3 linked regions of the Arabidopsis thaliana genome follow. The protein of the gene in region 3 interacts with the protein of the main gene of each other region in a pairwise test. Each region holds a gene or a part of one and is shown on either strand. Other genes may lie near its edges. The genes, in order: AT1G74840, NF-YA5 and HD2C.

Region 1 (10,922 bases), on a different chromosome or scaffold from region 3:
AGTGAGAGAGTAGGGTTCGTGAAGAGAGTGATGCATAATGCGAGGAAGATTAAAACTATTGAGAGAAAAGAAGAGATTTGTGAAATATGAGCCATTGCTAGTGAGTGAGATGATTATGGTTGATGATGATAAATGACGATGTTAATTGGTAGATTATATAGCATTAGAGATTAGTTTTTTTTTGGATCGACCTTATAGCTTCATTAGACTAAAATAAGATGGGATTAAAGGAAAACACAAGAAAAGATTAAATCTTTATGAGTGTTGGGTTTAATTTTATGCAATTCTTTAATGGCTTCAATTTTTAAGCAAAGCATATATGGCTATGCCAAAATAAATTAGGTTCAAAATAAACCCTAGCTCACGGAGACCTAGCTAGTCAAGTGGCTAGAGCTATGATATATATATGGCTGAAACAAGTTAGGTACAATTAACTCTCGCTCCTTGATCACTAAATTAAAAATGTCGAATGTCTCCATTTATAAGTTGAAATATTTGATTGTACGTTCTCTATAAATAAAAATATAATAGTTTTAGTTTTAAAATTTGAATTATGAAGGAAAATGATATAATTTATTTATGTTTACATTTTGTATTAGCATTTAAAATTTGTAAAAAAGTCAATCCTTAACGAAATAATTTGTTTATGTTCAGTGTTAAGATTCATTTACACTCAACAAAATGTTTATGGAAAATGAAAATGTTATACCTATTTGAAATGTGAAAATATGTAAGAATATAAAAATCCCATCTAAATACAAACTCAAAATGTTATACCTATTGAAATTGTGAAAACATTTTAGAAAAATTTCACATCTAAATACAAATGCAAAACTGAAAACTTTTTTATTTTTTGGGTATGAAGTACAAAACTGAAACTAGGTTAGGTTCATGGAGCAAACTGAAACTTTTTAATGTGAAAGAATAAAAGAAATGTTTTCAAGTTGAGACAAGGCGTGAAAGCTTGCTTGTTCTCTAAGAAATGGAAAAAAATTGTATTACAAGTTCATGGATTCAGAAGGCATAGCAACAAAACTACGAAGCATGTGCAAATTCTGAGATATCTGCAATAGAATTGCTTCTCCTTCACTAACATCCAAAACATCAGCAATGTGTTTCAATAAATCACCATTTGATTGAAGAGTACTTAGTCTCTCTGTGATCTCTGAAAGCTCTTTTACTATCCCTTCTTTGCTTTCACTCCCTGCCCAATTTCATAACAACAACACAAGATTAAAAAGGGTTTTTAGGATCAGATTAAACAACACATAATGATCAAACTTTGAGTAAAGAATCATACCTTTTTCTTCATCTGCAGAGACAACATTCTCCGCGGTAGACTCCTCTGACCTTTTCGATTGCCCATTTTGATCGATGTTTTCGCCATTTTCCTGCTGATTTGAAGAAGAGACAGCCAAATCCGAGACTGGTTTGGTTTCTTGGCAATCATCATATGCACTAGCATTGCCGTTTTGTTTATGAAACTCTTCCCTTGCATCTTCTTGATCAGTCAAACATCCATATTTCTCTCTGTAAACCTCAAATTCAGCTTCAAGCTCCTTCATTTCCTCTTCCCTCTTCGCCAATTCACTACTCATAGACTGCAAAGCTTCTTGGTCATACTCTGCTTGTTCATCCATCATTCTTTGGTACTGCAAAGCCTCCATTTGAACAGCAGCTTTCTCGGCTTGAAGCCTCGTGATCATAGCCATCGCTTCGTTGGCTGCAACAGCTGAAGCACTTCTCTCTTCATCTAACTCCATATATAAATCAATGAGTGACTTCTTGTCCAAGCGAACCTCTTTCTTGAGCTGATTAAGAATGGATTCACCGGTTGGATCTGTCGTGTCCGAAGCATTCTCTGTCTTATTCAAAACGGATTTCTTAAGAGATCGAACGGACCATCGTGGACTGTTTTGCGCCGAATCAGACAGAGGGATCCCAAAAAACTTGTTACCTCCTCTTACAAAACTTGGTGTTCGGTCCACATCCATATCCTTAAACTCAGATTCGTTTTCAGACAGTTTGTTGTGCGATACCCTAGGAGAAGGAGCAGGAGCAAGGAAAGAATTGTTGTTCTTCGGTAACTTCTCAGATTTTATCTTCAATAATTCTCCACAACACGAACAATGTTGCTTCAAGCTATCATTTTTAATGTTGTTAGTCTTGTAATCCACCAGATTTTTTGTTGTCTGGACTAAATTGTCGTCTTTCTTGAACGCCAAGGGAAGGTCTCGTTCATCGTCAATGAGAAGCTCGAGATCTTTATGTAAGATGCCAATGAGAGACTTATAAGTATCACAGTCAGAATCTTTCTCGGTGGCGAAAGAGAGAAGACATCCTTCACACATATGTTTAATCTCAGAGAGCTTCTTATGGACATGGCAATAAGCAAGAGAAGATACTTTCTTCTTGTGAGAGTCGCAGATTGACTCGTTGTAATAGAATTGAGGGTCTCTAGGGACGAGAATGTGGTCGATTCTGGTGCAGAGAAGACAAGGAATGTTGAGGTCGAAGAATTTGGCGAATTGGTTTGACAGAAAGGCGATAACGCCGTCGATGAAGAGGAAAACAATGAGGCTCCATTCAAGAACAGTGTAGATGAGGAAATGAGGAAGAGATCCGAGTTCTTGTTCCACAAATTTCTTGAAAGAACGTTTAGACATTGTGGCTTGTAAAAGCAGAAACAAGAACAAGAAAAAACAGAGCAATTGTATATACATAGGAGATCGAATTTTGGTCAAAGATCAACAAAGAACAGAGATCATGATCTATCTATCTCAATCTTTTGTGATTTGTGTTTCTATTTCTGGGTTTAGAGAGTCTAGATTGGGCTGGAATTTGATGAGATAAAGTACCCAAAAACAAAGGATAGTCGCAGATTTGAAATTGATAAATTTAGAGACAATGTCAAAAGACAGAGAGATACAAAACAAACAAAGATAAACTGGATTCGTTTTTTTTTTTTTTTTCCCCGCTTAGACGTGAGGAGAAGTTTGTCGTTGACGCTAAAACTGAATACAACCATACACGACAGAAACAGAGGACATGCCAACACACACATGACATACACATATACATCATCATCATATAAAAATGATGCTGTTTGATTGGTCGATTAATGAATGGGGATCATGTTCTGTGATTGGAAGATTATTGCTTACGCAACAGGGGTAATATGTAATCATCCCACACAAAATATATTAAAAGCATCTGATGGGAAAAGAAAAAGCTCCACTATGATGGAAGTGACCAATAAAATTTGACATTATTGGCATCATTAAAGATAATGACATTATTCTACAAACATAAAATATCTTATCCTTGGAAATCAGATATATTATAAAAACCCTAAAACCCCATGAATCATCTAACATGATTTAGATAGCCACATGATAAGCAAGTACTACGACTCTGTTTATGATTGAGATCATGAATAAAACAAACATAACGTTAATATGATTTATAAGTTTTGATAGATCCACACGAATGAACTTAGAGAGTATTACAACAACTTCCAAACATGGAAGGAAAAACACAGGATGATTATGAACCCTAAAACCCCACTTAAGTCCTATCTCCAAACTCTGTTTATTATTCTTCTTTTCAACAGATTTTTTTTAGCCAAATACATAAATTTGACGAATTTTTTTATAACAAAGTCAAGACCTATCTGTACAGCAAAGAAACAAACAGGGTGTGTTGCAGATTTTCACCTTTAGGATAAGCTCTAAGCGACTCCAATCGTGTTGAATGCTGGATGCATTGAAGGAGATGGTTCATTAAGATTAGATGAAGCTAGTGAGAGGTTGAGAGAAAGCGGTGCTGGACTTGACTGAAAAGTTAATGGAACCAAATTGATGAGATTCGATGAAGTAAGCTGTCCGTATGATTGATTCCCTGTTGGTACCGGGAACTCGGGAAAGACTTGCATAACCGGATGTATAGAGAAGTTGTTGATTTCCGGTACAGGAGAAGATGATTGAGATGTGTTCTCCTGTATAAGCACTTGGTGATCTTCTTCCATGGGTATGACCTGATAACAAAACCAAGCAAAATCAGTTTTGTTATACTTAAGTTTTCACTAACCAACAATTCACAAAGGCTCTCTATTAGTTTCTTTTAAACAACTAAGCTAAAAACTAAACCTAACCACTTAACTTACTAGAGTCACAAAGGATTAGAGATTTACCGTATCAGTAGTCATGTCAAAAAGGCTAGATCTTCGGCGGCGACGGTTAAGATTACTTCGCCTGAGGAAGTATTTCTGAGCATGACTAGCAACTTGTGTAGAGGTTCTGGTCTTGACAAAGTTTCTTGATATTCCTTTCCAATCTCCTTTACCGACTCTCTGCAGCCCAAGCAAGAACAGCTTGTGTTCTTCTTCAGTCCATGGAACTCCTAAGAAATAGAAAGAAACCCAATAAATTAGCCATCTTTCTAAATCCAAATGAACATAAAGTTGTTCATAGTCCATTTCTCAAACCATATCTAACAAATCCCTAAGTTTAAAGTGATCAAATTTATGGAATGATAAAAAAAAGTTTCAATCGAAGAGTAATACCTCGTTTCCTCTCGATTTTGCCGTTAGAAGAAGACATGGGAAGAGCTTCATCCGCCGAGGCGTAACCGGCCGGGGTTTTGTTCATATCTTGTTCATCTCTATCTTCGCCGTCGATCTTTGGAGTCTCCGCCGTCTGTTCATAGTCAGACAGATTGTTCAAACTCACGCACTTTCTCATCGGGTCAAGCACAACCCTGACTCCGAACAGCATAATCTCTCTTCTTGTGCCGCTTCCAGCGCAGGCGGTAGTGGACTCCGAAGAACTAGTACTACCGTCGGCCATGATAATCTTTCCGATTTTGCCCCTTGTGCTTTCTTTCTCCTAAAGAAGCAAAGTACACAGAGCAATGGGCAATGGAGTGGTGTGAGTTAGATCTGAGCTTCTTTGGGGACCCTTTTATAAGCCAAAAGCCACGTGGTTCCTTTTTAAACTATTACATGTTGTAGGTGTTGGTGACGGTACCATATGACACGTGTTTTGTTTTTATTCGTCTGTTCTTGTATTTTTTTCTTACCTGCCTGTCTCTCTACAGAGTTTTCATTTGGATAGACTTTTTTTATTCATTGGCTGACTAGATTTATTAGGTTTTTTGTTAGTAGTTTAATTAATCTTATAGGATGACGAAAAAAGAGTTAAATAAATGTTATCCTATAATAAGAAGTTAAAAAAGTATTTCGCTATGTCGACCAAAAAATGTAGGTCGTATAACGAAGAAATATTTATTGACTTTCGCAAACTCAAAGTTAAATACAAAAAAATGAAATAACAGAATGAGAAAAATGAAATGAAATCGACGCTTTTATTTTTCTTAACGTTACCCTCATGTATTTTTATGATAAAAATCTACAGGTTATAATGTACTGGTCAACGCAATGTCTCTAAGGCCTAAGCGCATGCAACTTGAGCTTAGAAAAATAGTCAGCTTCTGAAATGATTCTGTACTCTGCTCTAATAATCTATTTAGTTACAGCTCCATCCTTGTACTTTTTTTTCTTCTAAAATACTATATCTTGTGGATCTATGAGTTGATTATTAAGAAAAAAATCTTGGGAGACAGGTGAATCCTTTTTGGAAATTATAACTTTGAATTTCAACACAAAAACTTACAATTTCAGGAATCTAATTCAACAACAAAAATGATTGTGTAGTCGAATTTGTCGTTTTCTAGCTAAGAGTAAATTTTAAGACGCTGTTAAGGACCTAATTGTAGTATAAACAGCATGATCGTATGTCCAGACTTGATCACAACTATATAGCATTAAAAAACAAAAAGGTGATAGTTTTAGTCTTTTAGTAGAATGTTAGGATGTGATTTGACTGTAAGCAATATGATCACATACTATTATTATTTATCTATTTTAGATTTGTAGGGAAAAGATTCTAAAAAGTATTTACAAAATTTGGTAAATAGTTTTGGAAGACAGCAAAATCACACAAAGCACTAGCATCGGTTAGAAAGCAAAGCCACCATTACTTTTATGCGCACACAAAGTGGAATCTTAAAGTTGTAATGTGTGAAGCACTATAGGAAGATCCTTTCTTTCTCCAATCTTTTTCTTATTTTATTACCAATTTGGATGACAAACTTGTAGTGACTTTCCTAAATCAGAAAACAAACACATATCTGAGGACGAGAGAGAGAAAAAGATTAATCAGACCGAAGAAGGAATCTTGCACAACAGATTGTTTTCTTTATTCTGGGTGGAGTTGGGTCATTGCTATGTAATAAGTTAGATTTCGAAACAGAGAGAGTTCATCAGGTGAGGTCACAAGCAAAAACTAGAGCTTCCCTGAGGAATCTTGATTAATAGATCCTTTAATTGTAACTAGAGCTTTGATCTTACATTAGCATTTAGCTTTATAGTAATCAAAAACATAGTTGAATGGAAAAAAAAACGAAAAAAAATCTATGGCTGCAAAATCATGGGTCTAACAATCCATCAAAACACTTAGTTGGCTACTTACTTGAGATTTTCATATAGACGCTTCTTCATATAAACTAAGATCACCATTTATCTTCTTCTCCAGCTTCTTCTGTCTAACAGAGGTTGACTCTACTGCTTGAAACCATAGCATAGTTATCATGGATATGGAGTGCTTGTGAAATACGCCCACAGTTTTCACCCACCAGTCTATATGGAGGAAGGCAGAAGAGGCCTTTGATTTCTGGACTTGGCAACAGAAACTACGTTGTCTAGTTCTTAAGCTGTGCTCCCTGCTAGTTCTTTTTTCGTCCTGGTTCTTCGTTGTGTAGGGTTACCGCTGTGGTTCGTGTCACTGCTTGTTGAAGCTCTTGTTCCAGCCGCAAATATTGGCGAGTTTGCTAATGCCACTAGGTTTTTATTTTCGGATTCTTCTGAAGTTGGCTCTTTCGTTGACAGTAACTGCTTGAGCTGAGATCGCTGGCACATAATGCGACCTCCATTCCATCCCGTGAAGGAAAATGAGGACGAGACATGATCCTGCAAGAAGGAGAAAGCAGCTTTCGCGATAGGAGATTCTCTTGCAGCAGAGCTTTTCTCCAACTGTCCCCGTCTGAGAGGTTAGAAAGAAAGAATTAAAAAAGGCAAAAGGCAAGATAAAAAGCTTGAAGGCATCTTGCAATGAGGTAGGTACCCAGTATCAAAATACTTACACTGAAACAACAACAGCTAGTTGAGGAAGATCTCCCTTTAAAAGCATATCATTTATATCATTTAGCCAAACCGATAGTGCTGTATACATGCCACCCTCTGACATCCTGCAGAACATTGAAAACCAAGAATTAGATTGACTGGTACTCAACCATTTCATACACATGAAACGAAGCCAGTGTAGGGATCTTAGGCTACCTATGTACATCGACAGACCACACAAGTTTGTTTTTCCGGAATAACTCAGGGAAAAGTCCACGCTTTGTTGCCTCATTGAGTACTCTTGCAGCTCGCTCTTTCTGGCCCAGCCACCACAAAGCATCCAGAAGTGCATTGTAAAACCTTATTCCCAAACCACATCCTTCTGAATTGAGTTTGTCCAACACGTATTCCACTATCTGCCAATTTGAGTCATCATCATAATCTCCCTTGATCATTTGCCCAATAACTTGATGAATATTTGATACTCTATTTGAAAGCATCTCCTCCAATAACTCATTGACATCGTCCCACCTATAAACCAAAAAAAAAATTTGAAGTGTTGCTTAAAATCTTAAGATGTTATATACAAAACAATGGCTAAAGTTACTGCTTATCCAGAACACTCAAGTTAGCTGCAAGAAAATTAACTAGGGTGCTACATTACACTAGCATATCTCCCCCATGCCTGACCATGTATAGACAGAAGGCAACTGAAAGAGCAAAATGCTATGATGATGGAATAAATCATCATGCTTAGTAAGGTATGAGCTATAAAAATACACGCAAAAGAAAACATCAGAAACCGTGTATTACTGGCGAAGGCACTAACCTCTCCGTCTTCCCATAAACAGCTAGCATCATACAGTAGCACATGATACTGGGCAGTATATCAGAAGCTTTCATCTCCTCAAACTGCTCTCTGCACTCATCAACAAGCCGCGCAAAAGAATACACACTTAAAACAGCCTCAAGCGTCCTTTCATCAGGATCGCATCTTGACTTCTCCATATCTACATATGTCTTCACAGCCTCTTCAAATTTGCCTCCTTGCTTGTACGCTTCTATCTGTGCATTGAACGTATCTCTGTTCCTGGGAATACCAGAATCCACCAACCTGGACAAAATCGCCTCAGACTCCTTGACCAGTCCTCCCCTTGCAAACGAATATAACAGTGAGTGGAATGTTTCAATACTTGGATTGCTTCCTACTTCATGCATGGTGTTGAAAGCAACAAGCGCTTCTTCATATAAAGCAGCCTGCCCAAACGCTTCAATAACCCCAGTGTACGCCTTGGAACTTGGCACGATATCGTTAGCTGTCATATATTGTAAGATCTTCCTAGCATCTTCGTGAAGTCCCCCCTTCCCACAAGCAAATATTATACCCTCATATGTCTCCATGTCCGGTTCAATATTCTCCTCCACCATATCATGGAACAAAGTTACCACCTCCTTAAAATACCCCCCTTCCCCAAAAACCTCAATCAAAATGTTATATGTAGCAGCATCAGGATCCGTATTGCTTGATTTCATCTCAAGAAAAAGCTGCCTCACATCATCATACCTCCCACTCTGTCCAAACAAATTCAGCAAAACACTGTATGTATTTGCGTTCGGCGTACACCCTGCAGCTTGCATCTGATGGAAGACCCCCATTGCCTCCTTAATAGACCCGGATTTCGCATATGCCTCTAACAACACATTATAAGAAGTGATATCCGGCAAACTACCGCCGGAGGCCATCTCGCCTAAAAGATCACATACTTTCTCCAGCCGGCGTAACTTCCCAAATGTCTCAACTAGATGACTATATGTGGTTAAATCCGGAACAATCCCACCATCATTCATAGTCCTAAAAACCATTTCAGCCTCATCACCTAAACCTCTAATAGCACAAGCACTAAGCAGTGTATTATAAGTCACGATATCAGGTTGTATCCCCTCATGTCTCATCTCTGCAAACAAACCCAATAAACCCTCCCAATCTAAACCACCTCTAGCACAAGCATTAATCACAGTGTTGTAAGTCAAAATACTAGGTGATATCTTTTCATTCTTCATCCTATCAAGAAGCTCAAGAGAAGTCTCATACCGTCCATTTCGACCATAAGCATTGATCAAAGCAGTGTAAGAGAAAACGCTGCGGGACACACCTTGGCTAGGCATTTCGTCGAATACCTCAAGACATTTATCTAGTAGACCTTCTCTACCAAGCAAAGAGATCATAATAGTGTAGATATGCTCGTTAGGTTTGCACCATATCTGCCGTTGCATATACTTGAAGAGACGAAGCGACCTTTGCCAATCGCCGCGACCAGCGAACTCTTTGAACACGAGTGCGAAATCGTTCAACGAAAGCTTGTTTTTGAATATGTCTAAGCACCTGGCGATGCTCCCGCGTGGTGGGAGACTGCTCAGCTTGTTAATCAGCGATTCGACGTCGTAGCTGTACTTTCCTTTCTCCACGGAGACGGAGGGGTTCCCGAGAACGAGATCTTTAGTCTTTGCTTTGATTTTACCGGAGAAGGAGCATGGTTTACGATTTCCTCCTGAGAGGAAACGGAGACGGTTGCCGTCGGCGAATCTCCGGTTTCCGATGAAGCTTGAATTCTGGATGAGGAAGGAGAGGTGGTGTGAGTTGGGATTTGGAATTGCTAGGTTCATTTTGGGTAACTAGAGTTCACATAAGGATTCAAAAATCCTCCAGCAAGTGAAACGAGATTTTCTCGGGAAAATCGCAATTCGATTTGAATTGAATCAGAGATTTAAGATTAACGGCTAAGTTACTAGTCACCACCAAGCTCTAGACAGAAACGCACGAATTAAGATTGGCAGTAGAATAGTTTAGAAGAAGAGATTTTCTCACCCAAAAGCTCGCTCTCTAGGTGAAATGGCGGAAAAATGGAAGAAGAGGGAGGGGCTTGAAGAAGACACGTGGATTCTTATTGTGGATAACAGTCTCGAGTAATCACCCGGTCATTACCCGGTTTAATGATTACTTCCCGGTTTTAATTGGTTAACTCGATATTTTTCGATCAAAAAAAATTGGCGCCTAAAATTGCAAGAAAAGTAGTATTAGTGTACACTAGTAAATAGTAGAATACAATTACATTGGTAATATATGTTGTAAACTAGACAATGTTCTATAAGTCGGTTTAATTGTCCATCCATCTTCTAGGCAATCGAAACTTCAAAATCATTTGGATATCTTAATTTTGGTTTAATCCCATGAGCTAGCTTCTTTTTTAGCTGTCTACCATTTTTTTTTTCTTTGAATGTATCTACCAAATATGGAACATTATATCATGTCTCGTATTGGAATAGTTGATACAAAATTCAATAATTAGAACTAGCTACAATATAGTCTTTTGTTTGGGGTAAAAGCTACGAAATCTAGTGGTCTAATTGTCTAAATGAGGTAAAAATTAAAAGTCCAGTGTATTTTGAAATTGTAAATTTATCACCGAAAAATGTAAAAAGCAAAAGAGAGATTACGAAAAGAGTGACGGAGATAACGGGAAACCGTACCGCCGTTTGCAGTCTGAAATGCTGAAGCTGACGTGACGTGTGGTGTGGCGTTTGAGAAATAACATCGAGTTTTTAGGGGTAAATAGGTCTTTATACTTCTTTCTGTTCCTAACAGACAGACGCTTCAAGGAAACACAAAAAGAAACAAAAAAAAAAAAAAAAACCTTTTTAGCTTTTTCTTTCTTCTTGGCGAGTTCGCGACCTTGGTCGGAAA
Region 2 (11,051 bases), on a different chromosome or scaffold from region 3:
TAATCTCTATGCTTAACTTTATGGTAACAAGTAAGAATATGTGATCAAAGTGGTGAAATGATTGCTCTAAAGTCTAAAGTCTAAACGAAGAACTATACTAATAGAGCGTGCAACTAAGCCTTAGCATTTTAATTTCTAAAAGCTTTGATTACTATAATACAAATTTTATAGACTTGCTCCCCACCTTTTTCTCTCTTCCTTGAAAGTTTAAGCCTTTTGATTAATTATGAGTTTAAGTACACCTTCCACATCATCAAGCAATGCATATCATGCCCTCTCAAAAAGTTAATCTTGTAGGGGTGGGCATTTGGGTACGCGAGTCAGTTTTTGGTAAAACCCGATCGGGTAAGTGTAGGTATAAATTTTTAGACATTTTTTAGAACTGATACCTGAATTTTTTGGATAAATACCCAGATTTCCCTGATCTTTGGATAAAATTTAGATAAAATTTAGTTATTTTCGGGTTCTAGTTGAGCTCGAATTTTTGGGTAGAAGAAGTTTAGGACCCAATAAGATAGATCTAAATTTTCAGGTTTGGTTTCGAATCCAATTTTTTGGGTCGGTTCCGTGTTGTTTTTTAAACCCTAATCTAGAGTTTTTTTTTTGTTTAATATGAAAACTTAGTACTTAACTTTCTCTACTTGTATTATAGACTTGTAAGAAGTTAATAACTATAAAATTCAATTGACAATGTTTGAGATATAATCTCTTTGGATATATCTCAATTGACAAATAATTTGAGATAATTCTAATAATGTTTGAGATATAATCTCTTTGGATATACTATATCTGAAGAAGTAGTTATTGAGATAAATATAGCTAATTAACTTTTGAATAACTACTTCTTCAGATATAATCTAATAATGTTTGAGATATAAACGTGTGAGATATAATCTCTTGTGAAGAAGTAGTTATTGAGATAAATATATCAACAAAGGTGTTAAGCCCAAACAAGTTAAAACGGATCAAAACAAAAGGCCCAAAAACTTAATGATACGCTCATCCGTAGGTGATCACACCCTCGTAAATACACAACACAACGATCTGTCCTTAAATTCCCTCAATTCATTGAAAAGTTTGCAACAACGAAAAAAAAATCAAATCAAAATCTCAACTCTAGAGATTTATTGTTGACCCGTTTACCGCGATTCTCTCCTCAATTCGCCGGTAAACCCCTAACTCTGTCGGAAAACCCTAATTCGCCGCGACGGAAATTACCAATACTCGTTTCCTCGTAGCATTGGATTTTTAAAGCTGTTGATTCCAGCTTTGTTGAGGTAAATATTATCTTCCCAGATATCTATCTTCTGATTCTGATTTTATTGAGGTAAATATTATTAATTTGATTCAAATTTTGAGAAGTTGGTGATTCAGTTGGTTGATTTAGGGTTTCATTTGGGTACTCTGTCTAGGCCAAATTCGTTTTGTATTGAAAATTTTATTCTTTGGATTGCAAAAAGTTGTCTTGTTTATTATTATTTGGTAAATTTGAATTTTTGTGGTTTGTCATGTTATTTGTTCTTTAGAGCTGTGATTATGATTTGTTATTTGATTTGATGTATGAAGCCTGCGCAAGTTTGTGTCTTTCGTAACATTGAATCACGTTCAATGTAACATATTTCATTGCAAAATAGTTATGGGATTCAAATCCTTGGTTAGTGGATAGAACACCAATCTTCTAATTTTACGTTTTGTTGTATGCCTATTGTGCTGGAAAATGGCTAGCAATATACATCTTATTGGCAGTTTTTGGTTGTTCTTCCCATGGCTCATAATCAGAGTTACTTTATGGTTTCAGTTCTATAGTTCATTGATAATTCATAGCATACTTTTTTCCCTCGGAATGTGCAGAACATTCAGGTTACTTCTCTGTATAGGGTTTAGTTGACGAACCCCTAGTAATATGGAATTGACTGTGACATTCTATCTAAAAAATATAACTTTTACATCGCATTAAGAAATCTAAAAGAAGTTTTGATGCCAGCAAGAATGCGAATTGGAGGGCCAGTTTGCATATTAGGCTCATCGTACCGTGAGACGGTTATCTTTATCATCTTATTGAATAACCCGTTTATTGATATTTTCGTTTTCTTCAGGTTAAAGCAACTATGAAGCCTGTTCTTCACTCGGGTTCTTCATCCAATGGATTTTCACACAGGAGATTTGAAAAGGAGGCATGGATGAATAACGCACAGCCTTCTGTTGACAATACAGGTTTTGTATATATATTTCGAGACATATACATATATACCTTTACTCTGATGTAGCACCAACATCATGTTCTGCGTTCTCTTGTTTGTTGATACATATGTGCAGAAAACGGTTGGGACGCTGAAAGTGTGGATACCCCTTCTCAGAAGCTGTTAGTGTATTTCACAACTTGTAATATTGGACATCAGGTAGAAGTTCATCTCAAAAATGGATCTGTTTACAGCGGCATATTTCATGCTGCTAATGTGGAGAAGGATTTTGGTAAGGCTCTGAATGAGAACCTGTTTGTTCCTTTGAGATGGTATATAATATAAGAAGAGGTCACATTTTTTTTATCCCTTACAAACTGCTATGAAACTTTCAGGAATCATTTTGAAAATGGCATGCTTGATTAGGGATTCACGAGGAACCAAATCCCGTACTGTCAGCAAGCCATCTTCAAAGCTACTCAAAATCCCTGCTGACGAACTTGTGCAAGTTATAGCTAAGGTATGTACTCCTTTCTTGCAGATGGGATTGGGTTTTATGTTCACATGAATGCAACAACATAAGACTACTTGGTGTTTTGACATTATTATTCTTTCGTCATTGGTCTATTTGTTAGGACCTTCCTCTATCCAGCGATAGCGTCTCAGATTCTGTTCAGTGCGAGAAACCTTTAGAGCTGTTGACAGACTCTCTGATATCACAGTTTTATAATGTTGATTTGGAAAGAGAGCTGAAACCTTGGGTACCTGATGAAGATGTTCCAGACTGTTCAGATCTGGAGAATGTGTTTGATGATCCTTGGAAGAGGTAATGATGCTATTCATTAAAGTAGGATATTTACCTTTTTGTTAGGATTTCTGTTTTCTGATATAGAAACTGTTTTCTCTATTTCATTTTCCTCTGTGTTTACTTTTGTGAACTAAGTTAGAAAGTGCTTTGGAGGTTGTATCGGGTTAGGCTGAGGGAGACAACATCGTTTTCTCGATTTCTATTCTTGGTACTATGATTCTTTTTTTAATAAAAAGAGTTTTGTATTTTATTCATGTTCTTGATTCTTAACTCTAACAAGTAGCCATAGATTTATTTATCCCAGTTCAATTCCTCCCATTGGTTGGTTAGGTTGTGTAAGCGGGCTACACCGCCTTGCAGTTGGTTGGACCAATATGGGGTTTTGGTGGGTTTTGCGAGTAGGCCTGTCGTTTATAAAATTTTCATTTTTCTTTACTTTAAGTTTAATTTTTATACAGAATCAAATAGAAATATAGTATATAATACATGTAATTTTCAAAATAAATATCATTTTACTTAGTAAATTGAATATAAAAAAGCTTTTTACATATATTGAAAATTACATGCGGGTTAGTGTGAGACCTCTGTCCGCAGTTAGTTAACCCTGTTCTCTTTTCTTATTCTTTCATCATGTACACTTCCTGGGTTAACGACACTTCTCATGACATCTTATATGTGTGTGATGATATCGTAGGGGCTGGAATCAGTTTGAGGTCAATAAGACATTATTTGGAGTAACAAGCACTTTTGATGAGGAACTGTATACCACAAAACTTGAGAGAGGTCCTGGAACGAGGGAGCTAGAAGAGCAAGCCTTAAGGATTGCGAGAGAGATTGTGGGTGAGAATACCCGAGATATTCACGTAGCAGAGGTGAATTATGGATGTCTTATGTGACACTGAATTTTTACGTTTTATTGTTGTACCATATTTCACCTCTAATGGTCATGCGTGCAATCATCTTACACAGGAAAGAGGGCTCCAGCTTAGTGGAAAGTTTGATATTGATGAGGAAACCAAATACTCATCGGTCTGTGCGACTAATAGATTTGATGATACGTGTTATGAAGACGATGAAGAAGAAGAAGAAGATATATTATTGGATTGCTGCAACAATTTGACTTTTGGTGATTCTTCTGCTTCTGATGGCAAGGAACCTGCTTCAACTGGCAAATTCTATGAAGATTCATGGGTATGGTTGAGTTCTTCACTCCTAGTAGTTTCTAGGAGAATCATAGGTGATATTGCCATTTTTTGTCCTTCAGGGTGACAGCCTGCATTTACGGAGTAACAAAATGGTAGATCAGAGCTGGTCGAACTCAAATAAGCATACTCGCCAGCTTATGTCCGAACTGCCATCCAAAGATTTTCCTGTTGCAGGAAACAACATCAGGTCTTTTTCCCTTTGAACATACAAAATATCTTTCATTGAACTAGTTTCTGAAACTCATTCTGATAGGAATGAGAGCCAGCTTGGTGAGCAAAGAAAGAGCAAATTCCTAGGGGCTTCCCTTTTTAAAAAGGTATAAAGTTAAACGACGCACCTTGTGTTGATTTGGCATTTGCTTAATGGAACATTACATATAACACTGTTCTGTTGGCTTCAATCTGTATTAACGCAGCCATCTGAGGAATCAGTGTCTGGTTTTGAAGGTATGTGCAACTTCAGCTTATCGAATCTATCTACTCCCGTTTCATCTTATATGTTGATACCAATTGAATTTCCTACTAAGTTTTTAATTGCCACCTCAATGAAGATGCACCACCACCTGTGAAGCCAAGTTTCATTGATGGAAGACTCGGTCTACTCTCTGACAGAGCAAAGTCTGAGAACTCTTCTGGGTGGCCTGGAAGCTCCATTTCTAGAAATTCAGAAAACTCTGCAGCTTCCTCAGCATCAAATCTTCCAATACTGTCACCAAGCTCTTCGGGTTCTTTATCATCAGAAAAATCCACACTCAACCCAAATGCTAAGGTTTTTTTCTTAGTGCTTAGGTTATCATCTAATATCTCCTTAATACTATAAGCTTTTTACTAACGAAATTAGGTCCGACCAGGAATTTAAACTGAACCCTAACGCAAAGAGTTTCAAACCATCTCCATCAGCAACACGTCCTCAATCTCCTCAATCTCCAGTCTTTGACGGATCATTCTATTATCCTCCTGTTCCACCCATGCCAGGACTACATATTCGATACGGAGTAACTTTTCTTTATTCTTTATCTAGTGATCAACGCCTAAATTACTCTTTAAGTCTCTGTTATTATGTTTCTGATTCACTAAGTTGAAAATTGACAGACGGGAGCAGCATTCCCTGGGCAACAACACCCAATGATGTATAACAATACAACACAGCTTAGTCCGAATCAAACATATTATTCTCCAAATAGTCCACAGGTTTGTTTATTGCTATTAATAGTCATTACTCTTGAAAACTCTTTACCTTCTCTCTATTGTAAGACTGAATTTTGGAATCAATGTTAAAACAGTACCCACAACCGATGATGGTTACTCAGCAGAGACCAATCTTGTTCATGCCGCCAACGCCATACCAACCGGTTTACTACTTTACTTCAAAATTCTTGTTTTGTCTAGTTACAAAAAAAAAATGATCAACAGAGTTAGATTTTGCTGACATCTTTGATTTTATTGCAGGAGATGCCATACAAAGGAAGAGACTCTTATTAGCTTTTGGCCAAAACCATGAATGGTGGTGGCACAAGAGAAGGTCTCGAGCTGATGGAATTGGTTTCATTTAATGTACTTTATTTTTATTTATTTCCAAAGCACCGAATCTTTTCATTTTTATTCTAAAATGAACACAATTGATGTGATGGTGATTTAGTTTGTTTAGGTATTAGACTAGATTTTACATTAGATTCGTGCTGATCTCATTTCTTTATTCACTTCTGTTGTGTCTCCCTATTCAAACTTTAACGTTAAATCTTTTAGTTGTATGACATATTCTGTGTGGAGTTTGTTTTATTTATATAAAAACAGTTAGGTAGGAAAAAAAACTTTTTCATTTGTGAAAAGGAAAATCAACGATTGTAGTTCAATCTTACATATACGTGTTAAGACATGGTAGGGAAAAAGTGGAGTGCGTCTATGATTGGATTTGAAAGCGTAATGTTTAAAATTTGGAACTATTAGATTAATAATGGGTTTAGTCTTGTCTTGTCCTAAAATGCATATAAATCTTATTGCGGTGTGTTAAGGATCGAGGTTAGGGGAGATTCGAAAATATTAACTTTGTCGTGTTTGAAAATATTAGTTTAAGTAAGTCTATAAACATAAACATAGGTAAATCAAATAATTGATTTCTAAGAACTTCTAGATACTGTTGATATATAATAATAATATTTGAAGTAACACCTGTAACTTCCCTCGTTCGAAGCATGATAGTTACGCATTTCTTTTCTCTAAAGCAAATAAGTAAAAGGTACGTGTAGCAAACAACAATTAATCTTCCCCACAATACAAAGTCTCGTATTACTTCAATTATTACTAGTTAAACAAAGTGTCATTGTAGTGAACTACAAATAGGTGTCCAAGAAATAGAAATGTTGCTATATACTATATTCTTTCTTTTGGAGTGTATTTATAGTGTTTTTTTGTCTTCCTTATAATTACTATTCAGAGTTGTGGATTAAATGCAGAGAGATAGTGCAGAAATTACGATTCATTGCTGCTTTGTGTTGGGGAAGCTGCATCAAGAAATGTGAAAAAGGGCTCTTTCGCTTTGCTTTGCTTTGCTTGACTTGCAATAATATCAATTACCCCAACTACAAATATAAAATATTTTTAATTTATTCGCTTAAATGCTACTATATTGATTGCGCTATAAAGAGATGTTGACAACCTTCCACTTAAACTTTTGCTTTTTAAATTAAAAAAACACCTTCTTAAACAAAAACAAAAACAAAAAGACAGAAAAAAAAAGTACGCTTAGATAATACATAATTACATATCTTCAACTATATAAACAATGTTTTAGAATTCTGCACATTTTTGTTATGAAACAATTAAGGAATATGATACTTCAGATACCCTCTATATATTATTTAGAATCTTTGAACCTTGTAATATATATGCTGAATAGAATCGCATATAAATTGATAAAACATCACTGATATGAACATAAAAATAAAGGTGTTAAACATCTTTGAAATAAATGGAAATATTTACCATAAACATTTTTACTTTGGTTTTTCTTGTCTTCTATTTTCCTTCCTAACATTTTAATACTATCATTTATATATTTAGATATATTTCTAGCCTTGTCTAGATTATACACGCGTCACACTTCTAAATTTATATCTATCTTTTACTAGATTTTTCTATTATTTATTGTTGCCTACATATTTCTATTTTGTTTTGTAATAAAACTAAACCTGATTTGAAAATTATAAAAGCACTACGTGACACGATTTGATTCGATATACTTAATTTTTGAAACATAAACAATATAAACAAAGATAAGAAAAAATACCACAAATAGAAATGTCAAACTCTGCAAATAAATTCAGAAATGGAAACAAAATAATATTTTAAAATATTTAATAAATTGTGTGTGAATAAATATGCATTTGTTGAGAGAAGAAAACCATAATTAAAAAAAAAAAAAGAGAAAAGGAGTCAAGATTAGTCTTTTAAGCCATAGCCAATACCCAATTTGCAGAGACAGAGGAAGAGAGAGAAAGATAGTGAAGAGAAAGAAACAACCATGTTCTGAGGAAGGAGACATGCATCATCATCATCATTCATCATCATCATCATCATCATAATCTCAAGCTTATTACTTAACTTCTTTTTCTCTCCATCTCTTCTTACCAAATCCAAAGCACCAAAGGTCTCTCTCTCTCTCTCTCTCTTCTTGTTCGCTTAATTTATTTGGTAGTGATGTTATGATTTGGTTGCTCAGTTTCTACTTATGATGATATAATTAAAAATAATAATTTTTGAGTTATGAGAGAAAAAAATCTTTTGGTTGGTTTCTCTGTTTTCTTGGATCATTAAGTTCAATGAGATTTGATGAGTTTTTTTATCTGTTCAAACTCAGAAATTTAATCTGTCGATTTTAGTTTTTGTTTGCATGTTGTGTAAGTTCTAGCCATGTTCAAAGTTTGAATCTTTTGGAACCCTTTAGATCATGAAACAATCTTACTGTGTCATTGAACCTGGAATCTGTGTTTTAGGATTGCTTTTATAATCTTTTGGTATCATTTCTCTCTTGTATTTGTTGATTATGTGGATCATGAATAATATCATATGATTTATGACTGGACTTGTTGGTTTGGACATTTAGTTTATTGAAGTAAAGATTTGAAGACAATGCAAGTGTTTCAAAGGAAAGAAGATTCATCTTGGGGAAACTCAATGCCTACAACAAATTCAAATATTCAAGGATCTGAATCTTTCAGCTTGACTAAGGATATGATAATGTCTACAACACAATTACCCGCGATGAAACATTCGGGTTTGCAGCTGCAAAATCAAGATTCAACCTCATCACAATCTACTGAAGAAGAATCAGGCGGCGGTGAAGTTGCAAGCTTTGGAGAATATAAGCGTTATGGATGCAGCATTGTTAATAACAATCTCTCAGGTTACATCGAAAACTTGGGAAAGCCTATTGAAAATTATACTAAGTCAATTACTACCTCGTCGATGGTGTCTCAAGACTCTGTGTTTCCTGCTCCTACTTCTGGTCAAATATCTTGGTCTCTTCAATGTGCTGAAACGTCACATTTCAATGGTTTCTTGGCTCCTGAATATGCATCAACACCAACGGTAATATGCTGTGAAGCCTTTTGTGCTTTTACTATTCTGAATCGATCTGGCGCATTGATTGGTTGATTGGGAAATCTTTTTGCAGGCGCTGCCACATTTAGAGATGATGGGTTTGGTTTCTTCAAGAGTGCCATTGCCTCATCACATTCAAGAGAATGAACCAATATTTGTCAATGCGAAACAGTATCATGCGATTCTCCGTCGCAGGAAGCACCGTGCTAAACTCGAAGCTCAGAACAAACTCATCAAATGCCGTAAAGTATGACTGTTTTCACTTTCCATTTTGCCTAAAACACCAAAGAGAAAGAGGGAAAACTAACTCAGAAGATCTTGATGATTTGATGTAATAAAGTTTTGTTTTCTTTTTCTGTAGCCGTACCTTCATGAGTCTCGCCATCTTCATGCTTTAAAGAGAGCTAGAGGCTCCGGTGGACGTTTCCTCAATACAAAGAAGCTTCAAGAATCATCAAACTCACTGTGTTCTTCTCAAATGGCAAATGGACAAAATTTCTCTATGAGCCCTCACGGTGGTGGAAGCGGAATCGGGTCTAGTTCGATCTCACCGAGCTCCAATTCAAACTGTATCAACATGTTCCAAAACCCGCAGTTCAGATTCTCAGGTTATCCGTCAACACACCATGCCTCAGCTCTCATGTCAGGGACTTGAGGCACATGAGAAGACCTTGCTCCGAGAGAACTCAGGCTAAACTCCGGAGACTGGTGATGATACATGACGGGAAGTCATCCTTGGCTACTTATGTTATCGGTTACAAAATTTCTTCCTTTTAAAAACTTTGCTTTCATATCCTCTACAATCTCTCACTCTATATTGAGTGACTTGACGAACTTTCAAATCATTGTCAAACTATTTTGTTAACTTCCGATTCTCTGAGAGTACAAATTGCATTACCCTATTACATACAATGAGAGAAGATTCAGGGTCACTAAGAGTAATATACACGCATAGATCCCCTAATGCTCTGAAGACAAACTGGACACTTAGGGTTTAACTCTCGTTCCACGGTTGAAGCACATCGCCTGCAACATACTACATGTCCACAGGGAATAAACGCAGGTACTCTCCTTCTTGACACGCAGATCACACACAATTCTCCATCTGGGATTTCATCTGCATCTTCGGGTTCATCATCGACCACAGAATCGTTCGGTCTCTGTGGCAGTTCTCTCTGATGGTTCCATTGTTTCCATTTATTCCAGGTCCTGAAGATAAGACAGTTAAACAGATTTCAAATCGAAACATTGCCCAAATCTAAAACCAAATCTGATCTCTCACAACTCCAGTACCTGACAGCAGCATAGCTAAGGATGCCAACAGACACAATGCCCAAGATAACGCTGCCCAAGAATATAAAGTTGGTCTGTTCCATAAGGTCCTCAATCATCTTGTCCTTGGTCATCTCTGATCTGCAAAGATTATTCATAAAGATTTATATATGAACAGCAAATAGAGCCTTTCTGCAACAATGGACTAAATCTTGTCAAATGATCAACAGATTGAGAAAACATAAAGAAGAAGATGAAGTAATAATTTGAGCTAGAACGCAGGCAGATATATAAGAACGAAAAATATTCAGATAAAATCTCACAAGAAATAAGGAAGATCTTGGCACGATTTGATTTCAGGAACTCCATTATTAAAACTGTAGATGCCAACAGCTGTTATATCTTTCCCAGGTGGTAAAATCTTCTCTATATCAAGCAGACCAACCTTGGAAGAGAAAGGATTACAAAGTTAGCCAAGAACAAGTAACCATCAGTTCCTCAAAACCAGAAATTTCTTTGAATATATATATACTCACAGGATAATCGGGGTACAAAAAGGCTTGAAGAAACGAAGAATTAATAGGCTGCAAGCGATTATACACAGTGGTAAGCGGAAGAGGTTGCCTTGAGCCATCCATGTTAACAGCGACAAAACTAGAGTTCGATTGCTGATCCTTTCCAACAATGACAAATGGGACCTGCACAAAGCAAAGGATACACAAAACAAGTTTGATCATGGATACAGAGCCAAAGTTGAAAGCTCTGAAGCTGATAGAGAGACTTTACCGTTCTCGTAAAATCAGCACCGTGTTTGCGCAATGATCTCTCCAACATAAACCGGTGACCAGTGGACTGAAACAATCTCTTCCATCCACTATACACATACTGTCAACAACAAAATGATGACATTAGAAACATACATTTCCCTTCTGAGATCACACCAGTACCAACTTACATAATCCTAACTTAATCAATCACAATGAACAC
Region 3 (11,309 bases):
TTATTTTGTTCGAGAACAGAGTCCAAAGCAAAACCACTTCCTCAAGAATTTCATATTTCTTTGCATTTTTAGACCGAATCATTAATTTTTCCGTAAAATTATTACCTGCTCCAATCTTTTCTTTTATATTAAGATCACACCACGGGATGTCCATATCATCACCATCAAGTCCAAGTTCCCTATTTGCCCTGTTTGGAACTGGCTGACTGATTGGTGGGGCATTCATAGGTGCTGCTTCAATTTGATTTGACGCACGCATCATGTTCTGTGGAGGCATATTAGCACTGGGTGGCAAAGACCCACCACCATTTTCTGCCAATGCGTCATTCTCTCCACCCGGATTATCATATTGCCTATGAAACATTGAGAATCCCATATCATCTACAACCATTCAAACAAGCAGATATAAGAAATTAGAGTCCAGAAGACAAGTCTTGCACATAAATGCACTAGAATTCATAAGCTTGAACAGCAGACTAACAAGTTTAACCTTAAATATCATTAGGCAAAGAACCCACCAACAAACATACACATCAACAGCCAAAAACAACTAAAGTGAAAAGAGACAAGAAAACAAACAATAGAATCATTCTAAGACTACTAACACTTCAGATACTGAGACATGATCAAGAAATACCCTAAATGATAGGAGATTACTCTTTTAGGGGAAATACAAAACGAGATGTAAGCAGCATGCAAAAAGTTAACATATTATTCAGGTTTTTTGTATGGGAATACCTGATGCAGGATCGAAAACAAGATTAAGAGACTGGCTATCGGAGAAATATTGTTTGGCTAGTAACCTAAAATCGACTGCGGGTTCAACTGGCTTTGGTCGTGGAAACCGCAGAGGAGAAGAAATTGAGATAGATGAAGGACCATTTAGCAAGGAATCAGGCTCCCATAAGTGACCTGGCTTTCCTACTAAATCAACCAGGTACTCCCTGAAACCAAAACAAATTTTCCACGTCATCAACCTAATATTCTGCGAAACATTTGGAGCTATAATTGTTTTTCCAGAAACAAAAAGCAAAGAAAATAGGAAAATAAAGGCTCTTTCGCAATCACTTGTATCATACCTATCAAGCCCAAACCTGACAAGGCACGAAGCGGCATCGTCTCTATTACAATATTTACATCCTTTGGCAATTCGACAGGGTAAATCAATTATGTCAGCCAGTACCTGCATGCACCAAATAGAAGATATAAAATACTTTTTTTCTTTGGAACATTCAACTATCAGTAACCTATTTTTTTCTAATCAATAACACCACTTTTCACATTCAACGTTCTTCATATGTATTCCAATAAAAACAAATGGATGAAGCACAATAATTTATATGATCATTTCACAAGATGTCTTAAATGTCATGGGGATAGCATCAAAGTTGGGATCTCACTTTGAAGAGTAAAGCTCGATGTCTGCAGAGTCCAACAGAGAGGCTACCTATGGGAACCACCACTTTAAAGATTTCTTTTAGACCATCAATGCACTCCTTCCACATGGGAACCAACTCATCTTCCCCCATGATAACTGGACCCCTGGGGAAGCAAGAATTAACGAGTACAATGTGAGAAATCACAGGAAGATATAAAAATATAAGTTCAAAGGGATAGTAAGGATTGTATGAGTACAAACCCCATACGATTGCAGATAAGCTTTGCCAGCTGATCAACAACCTCTTTTGTGGTAATGCAGCTACAAGATATGTCGTGGACTCTATTGTGAAGTTCCTTGAAGGCTGGATCACTACGCCTATCAACTATGATCGCTTCAAGCGAAGAATCAACACCAGAATCAACAGCTCTTAATGATTCAATTGAAGGGATGCGACCACTTTCATGCAGGTCGATGCATAAGGTCCAAATATAGGGATCCAGACCATTCATCATATAAAACCCATCAGGAACTTTATCATAGTACGATAAGCAGCCATTAACCTGATGCAGCACACAAAACAATCATACTCTGCAATGTATCTAAACAACATATCTCATTTGCTACTAATAGACTTTTGGTAAGGAGATCTAACTGAAACTTCGGAAACAAGAGGACCATATCTCTATAACCACGATTCAATAATTTTGGGAAACAAAGCTTAACAGGAACAAATACCCAGAAACGATGTGAAACGGTTTCGGCTGAACTTGGCGAAGTCCGTAAAGCAGACTCGTCCGGTACAGGATCCAGAAAGTTCGGATCGTCGGCACAAGTAGCCTCCGACGAAAGCCTTAACGCCAATGCAAGCTGCAGCTGATAACTCTCCTCCGTCTGCTGCGCCCAGCTCTTCCCAGATGAAGACCCTCCAGCGGAGTCCGCCGCCATCTGTATCCTCAAATCTCCTCCACCACCACCAAATCCAAGCCTAAACCCATCATCTTGAGGAAATCCAACAGATTCGATCTCGTTAGCCGCCGCAGAAAGCGTAGGCATGTAATAATCCCCAGACAAAGAGCTCTCACCGAAACTACTCCCACTGGATTGCCTTTGCAACCCTAGAGACGAAGCATACATATTATTCCCAACCCGATTCGGTTGATTATTCAACCTATGATCACCACCACCACCACCGCTAGGATCCCAATCAAATCCGCCTCTCTCCGCCTTAGCTTTCCCGGTGTTCCCGCTGTTATGGTTGCTCCTGTTTTCGCTCGACAAGGAATCATAGTGAGGCGGAGGAGCTCCGGTGACGGAAACTGACACCTGATCGTCAGAAAATTGACTAAGCAAAGTGTAATTAGATCTTCTACCGGGCATTTCCATGGAAAAGAGAGTTATCGCGATCTAGATGAGAGAGTTTCCCGATCATATAAACATCAAACCCTAGGAAACCGCCATTGTTGAAGAAGTTTGGCGAGCTAGCTAGCCACTTGTTTCTCTCTCTAGTTTTTCATTTTTTTTTTGTACTTTTTAAAAAAGTCTCTCTCTCTCTCTCTCTCTCTCTCTCTCTCTAATGGAATTGGATTTTTTTTTTGTTTTTGCGTTATCATAGGAAATAAACTTACTCGGTGCGTTTCTGTTGATAATTTCGTTATATTCCTCTTTTGTCCTCCTTTTTATGGAACTTTGACATTTTTTTTATTTTTTGTCAAAACAATTCTCCAATTTAGTTTGTTTTTTAGTGTATTATTATTTGTCTAATTTTTGTATTCGACTATGATATCTATTCATATGTTTTGTGCTAATTTAATCGCTAATAAAACTGTTTAAACAATTAATTTGGTATTTCATATTTTGGTGATAAGCAACTGAAATTGGAAGATAAAAAGTAGTATCGTAGTGAAAGTAGAAAACGCAAAGCTAAAAGAGGAACATACACAGTGTAAAATACTAAACCATCTTGCCTATCAAATCCAAATACTATCAAATTTGATCTTTTACACCAATCTGAATCCGTAACATTGGATCCAAGTTTCGTATACCTAAACATGAAATTTTCATTCGGCTCTACGTAGTCTAAAAAACTCGACATAAAATAAATAAAAAGCCTTTATAACGTCCACAATATTTAGAATAGAAAGTGAGAGAATGGACTATAATAAAATAATTGGAGTCGAGGGGGATGTATTCGTGTATGCGAAAATGGATGGGCTCTTCTGTCTTTATATTCCTTAATTTGTCTATTCAAACACATTCGTATTTCTGGTCTTCGGCCTGCGACTTCTATACCATGCATGCATCTTATCTCTCTCTTTTTTTTTTTTTTTCGTTTTCTTTTCTACTTCTCCATTTTTTTTTAATTTGGTTATTTTTATTGCCTTTATGTTTTTTGTGTATTATATATAAATGAACTAATAATACTTCATTATGTTTCGTGTTATTATAAGTGAATTTTTCACAACCATTACAAAAAATTATCTTTTGCTTAAAAGTTAACTTTGGATTATAGTACTTCATAAAAATGTAAAGATTTTGATCAAGTACTTATCAACGCAGCTTGGGTAGTCAATGTGCTGTCATTAATTTATCTATCAAGCTATCCACGCAGCTTGGACAATAAATAAATATTTAAATTCTATTGCATATTTATATCATTTGATCCGCTAAGGTTCATCGAATACTGCCAGGTTCATTGCACTCAACGCATTTTTGTCATTAACTTACGTTTTTTAGCCATGGCTGCTGAGAATATAAAGTTGCTACTATGTAAAGAAACTTTTGGGTTTGATCATATTTGTGCACAAAAAAAAATAAAAAAAAAATCATACTTTTAAAACTAGTATTAATCCAAAAAGTGCTAAAACATAACAAAAAAAAATTCTCCTTAACTACTATACAAACATATATTTTTTTATGCGCATAAATTAAAACTTAACAATTGATTATGATCACATATGTTGAAAAAAATCGAAATTATGTGTGATATGTAAAACCGGAGTATAATATTGGTAAACTATAAATTTAAGAGCATTGGAAAATGTTCATGATTCATGCCGAGAACTCTTCTAAATCTAAACACGAGAGGCCCCGAATAGATCTAACTAAAATGAATTGTGTTTAATATAATAATAGTGTTCCTTAATTCTCACTCGTGCAACTATCCATTTAATAATTTTAATTATTCGTAGTCGGGGACCGTACTTAGTTTTATCATATAAACTCTTCACAGATTTTGTTAACTGGTTTTTCTTTGGATTAGAAAAAAATTAAAACTTTGCGATACATTATGCTCAATTTATCCGTGGGACTTATTTTGAGGAATGGAGATAGATATTGTCATGAAGACATGAATATATAGACCCCACATGTTGACGAAAACTCCGTCAGTCAAATAAAGTGTTAAAAGTCCGTTACGATCCGTCCTGACACCGTTAAAAAAAGCCGTCAAAATAAAGTATGGGCTTGAAACGTTAGTTTTGTTGGGCTAATTTTAAAATCATGGCCCAACTAAAGGAGATATTCGAGTGGACCGCGTAACAGAGGATCCCTAAAATCCCTTCCTCCGATTAATAAATTCCAGCGGACATTTTAGCCTTCTCACATCAACACGCCCTAAAACCGCTCTCGAGAGACGAATCGCTCTCAGCTTCTTCTAGAACCTTCTCCTTCTCCTTCGACGCATCGTCGCCTTCAAGATCACACTACCTCGCACAACAATGGAGTTCTGGGGTAAAAAACATCTCCTATCTTACTCCTTCTTCTTCTTCGTTCTCTGCGCTTCATTTCCTGCATTTAGTTTTTTTTTAGCTTCTGGTTTCATCGCTTTTTTTCGTTTTGCCATGTTTTTCTACTGTTTTTTCTATGGAATCTTCTGTTTAGCTAAACGAGAAACGGGAATAGTGAGTATATGTGACAATCTAGGGTATGGACTGTTCGTCTTCGTAGAAAATTGGGGAAAACTGAAAAGTTTTCTCTCTCGCTAGGTTTTAACTCCGATAGAGGTTTCATTTGGGGATTTTGTTGCAGAATTACTGATTTGTATGCTTTCTATGCGTTTGCAGGTGTTGAAGTTAAGAATGGCAAACCACTTCACCTAGATCCTGGGCTAGACAGGCTCGTGCACATCTCTCAGGTACTTTTGAATTTGCAAGCTTAATTTGATTTATAAGAATGTATTTTACAGTGACGTTTGGTTTATTTTTGTTGAAGGTTGCTTTGGGAGAGAGTAAGAACAATGTAACCGAACCAATCCAGCTTTACGTGACTGTTGGATCGGATAAGCTTCTCATTGGAACGCTATCTCATGAGAAGTTTCCTCAGCTGTCTACGGAGATTGTCTTGGAAAGGAACTTTGCGCTGTCTCATACTTGGAAGAATGGGAGCGTTTTCTTCTCTGGTTACAAAGTTGATGCATCTGATCCATATCCTTTACTATTTGAACATTTTTGTTGTTATCGCTTTAAGCTTTGTTGATGAAAATGTTTTGGGGACTTGTTGCTTTACTCTGTTTTTGACTTCCTTGACTCTATCTCACCGAGCCTGAGGATTTGATTGATGATCAACTTGAGGCTGCTGGTTTCAAAGGTAAATGGGGACTTTTATATCCAGTCCTGCAATGATTTGTCTCCAGTTGTCTTATTTTAGTTTATTTAAGAACATCAATCTCTTATAAATTTATTTGGCCTTGGTTGAGCCAGCTGCTCCGAAATCTGCTGCGAAACAGGTGAACTTTCAGTTGCCAAATGAAGATGTCAAAGCCAAGCAAGATGATGACGCTGACGGTAGTGAAGAAGATTCTTCAGATGATGATGATAGTGAAAACTCTGGAGACGAGGAGGTACTTTTATCTATATATACTAGCTCAATTTGTTATAGAATTTTACTTAGGCTCAGTGACATGTTGATTAAACCTATAGACAGTGGTACTAGAGTTATCTTAAGTATGTTTGTAACTTCTATATTTGCATTTTCACATGAACCCTTGATTACCTATTGTGTTTTAGCCCATTCTCACATTTCTTTAATCCTTATCATGGCTGCTTTGTTTCAGGAAGAGAAGGTTACTGCTGAATCTGACAGTGAGGAAGATGACTCATCAGACGACGAAGAAGATGACTCCTCAGAAGAGGAAACCCCAAAGAAGGTAACATGACAGTCTCTTTTATGTGCTTGTTGATGGGAAACCTATATTTGTTCTATCTTATCTTCCTTTGGGAGCAATTTCTCTGCTTCTGTGGTCAAGCTCGAATCTGATTCTAAGTTTTCTTGGTTTATAAAAGCCTGAAGAACCCAAGAAGAGGTCTGCAGAACCCAACTCCTCCAAGAACCCTGCGTCCAACAAGAAGGCTAAGTTTGTAACTCCTCAGAAAACAGGTGATTAAATCCTTTTTACCAATCTCCCCATTGAATACTTATTTTAACGATAGAAAGGAAGATTGATTTGTTTAATTAAAAAACATTCGGACAAAGCAGATTCGAAGAAACCGCATGTCCATGTTGCAACTCCTCATCCCTCAAAACAGGCGGGTAAGAATTCTGGTGGAGGCAGCACTGGAGAGACATCGAAGCAGCAGCAGACACCGAAGTCTGCAGGAGCGTTTGGGTGCAAGTCGTGCACCAGAACCTTTACTTCGGAAATGGGATTGCAGTCTCACACAAAGGCCAAACACAGTGCAGCTGCTTGAGAAGAAGAAGCAGCATGATGACTACTCTCTATAATATCTACTCTAGAACTTTGATGTCTTTTGGTACTTAAATCTGGAACTTGCGAGTGAGCCAGTTTTAGTTGGTCTTTTTTTTCAGGCATTTCTTCCTGTTTAACTTTATCGTTTTGGTAGCTGAAACTGTGCTAAACCTTTGTTTGTGTTTAGTGGTATGGATATTAAGTCTTTTTGTAGACTTTTCTAGTGAAAATCTACATTTGAAATTCTCTGTCCAAAACATACATTGATTGAAGATTAGTTAGCATGTCACTTTGTAACATAATCTAATGGACCCGAAATTAAGGATTTTTAGGGCTTGTGGTTAATATGCAGCTACTACACCAGTTTGCGTATATAAATATAATAGGAAGAGAAAAATAATAACAAGCAGGTTTGCCCGAGTGGTTAAGGGGGAAGACTTAAGTTCTTCTGCACATAAGTGCGCGTGGGTTCGAACCCCACAGCCTGCATTTCCCCTCTATTTTGTTAAAATTAATAAACTTGTTGTGTTCCTTCCACTTTTGCTGTCTTCCAAAGGTTTCCAACTTCCGCTTCGTATTTCTCTGATTGTGAATTAACCAAATCACACCAAGAATCATAATACTAATTGGTTTTCATGTAGAGTTTCCTTTTTTGCGGTTTTCATGTTGAAGAAAAAAAGGAAACGCAAGTATTAGTTTTCTTTTAATCGAGCTTACTTTTTAAGCTGCTTTGCTCTTTATATACAGATTGCTCTGTTTTGTAAGAAGCTAAGTTTTGGGTTTTGCCTTAATGCAGCGACTACGGCGTTTCGTCTGTGGTAATGTCGGAATAACAATGGAAGTATTCGATGAACCTGATGAGGAAGAAGAACGCCAAATTAGCCAATACATCGATGTGGTAGACTCACCTAGGGTTTCACAGAACGAGAGTGAGTATCAAAGAAGGTCATCAGAAAGTGTTTGTTCATCATCGTCTTCAGGATTGCAGGAGGATAAAGAATCATTATGTTCGATCTGTATGGAAGTTTGGACCAACGGTGGCGTTGTTCGTCTACCAGCTGCACCTTGTCTTGTTCTTGGGATCTCAACAACTATCACAATGTTTATGCTGGACTACAGAATGGAATGGTTTTAGTATTTGACATGCGTCAAAACAGAGGACCTTTGGTTTCGTTGGCTGACGTAACAAGCAATTCGGTTCATATTGTAGATGGATTTCATGTTTGTCTCAAGAGAAGAGGTGATGGTTCTTATTCTCAGAAACAGTCATCCACACAAGCTATAGTAGATGCCATCAGTTTGCCAAGAACGGCGATTAGACTTTGGCGAGGAAATGACACAACTTTTTGCATCGTATGATGAGTCCACCCGTGAACTCATCTTGCAAGATCCTTGGTCTTTTGCTGTCTCACAACGGTTCGCATTGTCAAGTCAACTTCCGCTTCAAGATGTGAAATACGCTAACCTCAATGGCTCGGGTCTGCTCGGTCTCTTAACCAATGATAGATTCCAGTTTCTTAGAAGCGAATCTCCATGATCGTTGTTGTAGAGATTAAAAAACAGTTTGTTGAAGAGCAAACATATATGTAAAGTGACCAACTTCTCTATCTTTGATTGCTACTATTAGTTATAAAATCTATATAGCTACAATATCCATAAATTGTTTAAAGCTTTGAATCTATTTGTTCAGTTAAGTTCTTTTGTCTAGCGATAAGTCAAAAATCATTTGCCTTCAAGGAATCTGAAAAAAACCTTCAAAGTATATTTCTTCTTTACTATAAGTATCCTTTATCTTCCACACTACACACACCATTTCTGTAACAATGGTATCATCAATTCTCTCTATTCACACCAACAAGAATTTAAATAGCTAGCGAATCCAAAAAGAAAGAAAACAAATCATCTTCTTATCCTCGAGCAATTCGTCGCTCGAAAACTCCTTTTTCCCTTCAATGGTTAGGCACAATTGTCCCAATTTGCCCGAATCCCGCAATGAAGAACGCGATTGCTTGTGCGAAAAGGTATAGATAATAATGATTCTTCCCAAAAAACGCGTCATAACATCCCACAAATAACAGATACATTCCTACACCGAGTTCCAACACATGAATTCTGCCATAACACACAAAAAAGGTAATATTAGAATTGGTTTGGTACAGTTTACCAGTAACCGAAATCAAATTGAAAAAGGGAAGAAGTTTTTTACCTATCTCCAAATCTAAAACGAATAACCTTCTTTGAAGTCTTGGTGGCTGATTTAGCCTTAACATCTCCCAGCTTCTCTGTAACAATCCACTCATTAACTCTTCCTCCTTCGAGTAAACCGATAAAGGTAGCTTTTGTTCTGTGAAGAGACATCACATTCTCGAACAGAATCCAAAAGACCATAAGATGCAATGACCTATAAAATACATGTAACCAACAATTAGAACCCTAATAAGACTTGAGCCCCAAGAAACTCTCCGAAAATGTTTTTTTACCTTGGTGTCCCAACGGCGTTGAGGAGAGTAATGACTGAAGGAATGTAAACCGCTCCCCATTTCGGAACAGTAACTTCCGGTACAAGAACTGTAGCGGGTAAGATCACACAGTAGAAGATGAAGGTAACAATGTGTGCCACTAGCTTTCTAACCACGAAGAAGCTATATATCACATGAACTTTCTTCCACAAAGTCACGTTCTGCCAAAAGAAAGTAAACCGGTTCAGTTTTGTTATGTTATTGTATCTTAAAGACTTTCTAATTCGTGTAGAGGGATTGAAGGAAACCTTATTAGTCATGATTTCGAATGCCATTTTCCTGAAAAGATTAGCTGGACCACATGACCACCTGTGCTGTTGATACCTATAAGCCTTGAATGTACTTGGCAACTCGTTTTTAACCTATAGTTTTTTTAAACAAATAATTATTTCACATGTCAACCTTTAAGTGACTCTATAACCATAGTCTATAAAAAATATATTATACTACCTTCAAAGAACCGAGGTACAAGAATTTCCAACCCTTGAGACTAGCTCTCACGGCCAAATCCATATCTTCCACGGTCGTTCTATCTTTCCAACCACCAGCTTCGTTTAATGCCGATATTCTCCATATTCCCGCAGTTCCTATAATTTATTGTATCGAAACACATTCACAACTTATGAATAAAACGGTTCAAAACATGTTCTAACAAAATTTTAATTTAAAATGTGTGTTAAAAAAAAGTACCATTGAATCCGAAGAAAGCGTAAGTAGAAGAACCAACTTCTTGTTCCACCGTAAAATGATAATCCAAAGACATTTCTTGCATCCTTGTCATCAAACATTCATCCGAATTTACTGCAAAAAAGTTGAAAAAATAGTGGAATTCAATTATTTTGTTTAGGAAAAAAAAATATAAAAAAATAAAACAATAAATGTGGTGGTATTAATGAAAGACATTAATAAACAAGTTGGTGAAATTGGAAATCAATTATGAAATGATAGACACCTAGCTCAACTACAAACCCAATTAGATTTCAACAGCTCGTTAGATTTTGTCACATGATGATCTCTTTATTTTGTAAGTTTCTCTCCTCTAAAAGCATAATTATCGAAGTTTTTCAATTATTAGTCGTTTCAGGATCTAATTAAATAATAAAAACAATTTTTTTACATAAAAACATTAAAAAAAAAAAAAAAAAAAAAAGTGAGTGGTGAGAGTGAGAGTGACAGAGACTAGTTGTAGTAGAAGAGAGTAGCTGGGTCCCACGTTGTTGCACATGGAGGGAGATGGATGGTGTTGGCTACGTACACGTGGCGGATCTAGTGAAAATGACAAATCTACCCATACTATTTGAACTACTAAATGAGAAATCATTGCCCCTGTGTGGCCTACACTTCCCAAAATGTTCTCTGCACTCAATTATGGGACACGACAACGATGCCAGTGATGCTATTCCACTAAACTCTACTCTAATTTAGTAATTTTGATCAAATTAGATTCCTAAATTTCATCTTGTTTAATTTTGGTATTTACGATGAAATATTTGGAAATACAAGTAAGAGACGGTATGATTTAAATTTGGTCTAGAAAAGTTAAGAGTTGAATGGTTATAGTAGCCACTATTTATGGTGGATAATTACTTAGTAAAATACAAAATACGTGACAGCTTTTTGGGTGCCAGAAGTTATAAATACATTGGTGGACAATTTTTATTGACAAATAATTTCTTTTCTTTTTTTTTGACAAAAAATAATTTTTTTTACTTTGACTAAAATATGA

The links.
Region 1: the proteins of HD2C (region 3) and AT1G74840 interact in a two-hybrid assay, tested with the Arabidopsis thaliana proteins (one large-scale study listed by BioGRID).
Region 2: the proteins of HD2C (region 3) and NF-YA5 interact in a two-hybrid assay, tested with the Arabidopsis thaliana proteins (one large-scale study listed by BioGRID).

What each region holds. Positions count from the first base shown.
Region 1 is NC_003070.9:28,112,471-28,123,392, forward strand, and holds AT1G74840 (Homeodomain-like superfamily protein), read right to left. Parts: upstream 4,953-10,922; 5' UTR 4,848-4,952; coding exon 4,565-4,847; intron 4,402-4,564; coding exon 4,193-4,401; intron 4,037-4,192; coding exon 3,731-4,036; 3' UTR 2,973-3,730; downstream 1-2,972. Other genes in the region: AT1G74820 (RmlC-like cupins superfamily protein), read right to left, coding at 1-95; AT1G74830 (myosin-binding protein, putative (Protein of unknown function, DUF593)), read right to left, coding at 999-1,204, 1,301-2,723; PTAC2 (plastid transcriptionally active 2), read right to left, coding at 6,767-7,100, 7,201-7,305, 7,397-7,711, 8,010-9,844.
Region 2 is NC_003070.9:20,215,977-20,227,027, reverse strand, and holds NF-YA5 (nuclear factor Y, subunit A5), read left to right. Parts: upstream 1-7,575; 5' UTR 7,576-7,839; intron 7,840-8,295; 5' UTR 8,296-8,321; coding exon 8,322-8,780; intron 8,781-8,806; exon of another isoform or gene 8,807-8,865; coding exon 8,866-9,039; exon of another isoform or gene 9,040-9,067; intron 9,068-9,153; coding exon 9,154-9,447; 3' UTR 9,448-9,692; downstream 9,693-11,051. Other genes in the region: CID3 (CTC-interacting domain 3), read left to right, coding at 2,109-2,214, 2,317-2,472, 2,576-2,700, 2,816-3,006, 3,683-3,860, 3,958-4,179, 4,253-4,380, 4,447-4,510 and 6 more; SPL2 (E3 Ubiquitin ligase family protein), read right to left, coding at 9,725-10,001, 10,086-10,205, 10,388-10,509, 10,601-10,762, 10,851-10,949. UniProt on the Arabidopsis thaliana protein: Stimulates the transcription of various genes by recognizing and binding to a CCAAT motif in promoters. Involved in the blue light (BL) and abscisic acid (ABA) signaling pathways.
Region 3 is NC_003076.8:976,897-988,205, forward strand, and holds HD2C (histone deacetylase 2C), read left to right. Parts: upstream 1-4,962; 5' UTR 4,963-5,097; coding exon 5,098-5,110; intron 5,111-5,442; coding exon 5,443-5,513; intron 5,514-5,590; coding exon 5,591-5,802; intron 5,803-5,915; coding exon 5,916-5,965; intron 5,966-6,078; coding exon 6,079-6,218; intron 6,219-6,431; coding exon 6,432-6,524; intron 6,525-6,660; coding exon 6,661-6,754; intron 6,755-6,853; coding exon 6,854-7,065; 3' UTR 7,066-7,393; downstream 7,394-11,309. Other genes in the region: CTR1 (Protein kinase superfamily protein), read right to left, coding at 106-381, 739-944, 1,080-1,183, 1,401-1,542, 1,640-1,941, 2,117-2,764; AT5G03750 (E3 ubiquitin-protein ligase), read left to right, coding at 7,900-8,009, 8,123-8,348, 8,428-8,601; ATCSLA09 (Nucleotide-diphospho-sugar transferases superfamily protein), read right to left, coding at 9,014-9,176, 9,271-9,465, 9,545-9,744, 9,832-9,945, 10,034-10,170, 10,274-10,384. UniProt on the Arabidopsis thaliana protein: Probably mediates the deacetylation of lysine residues on the N-terminal part of the core histones (H2A, H2B, H3 and H4).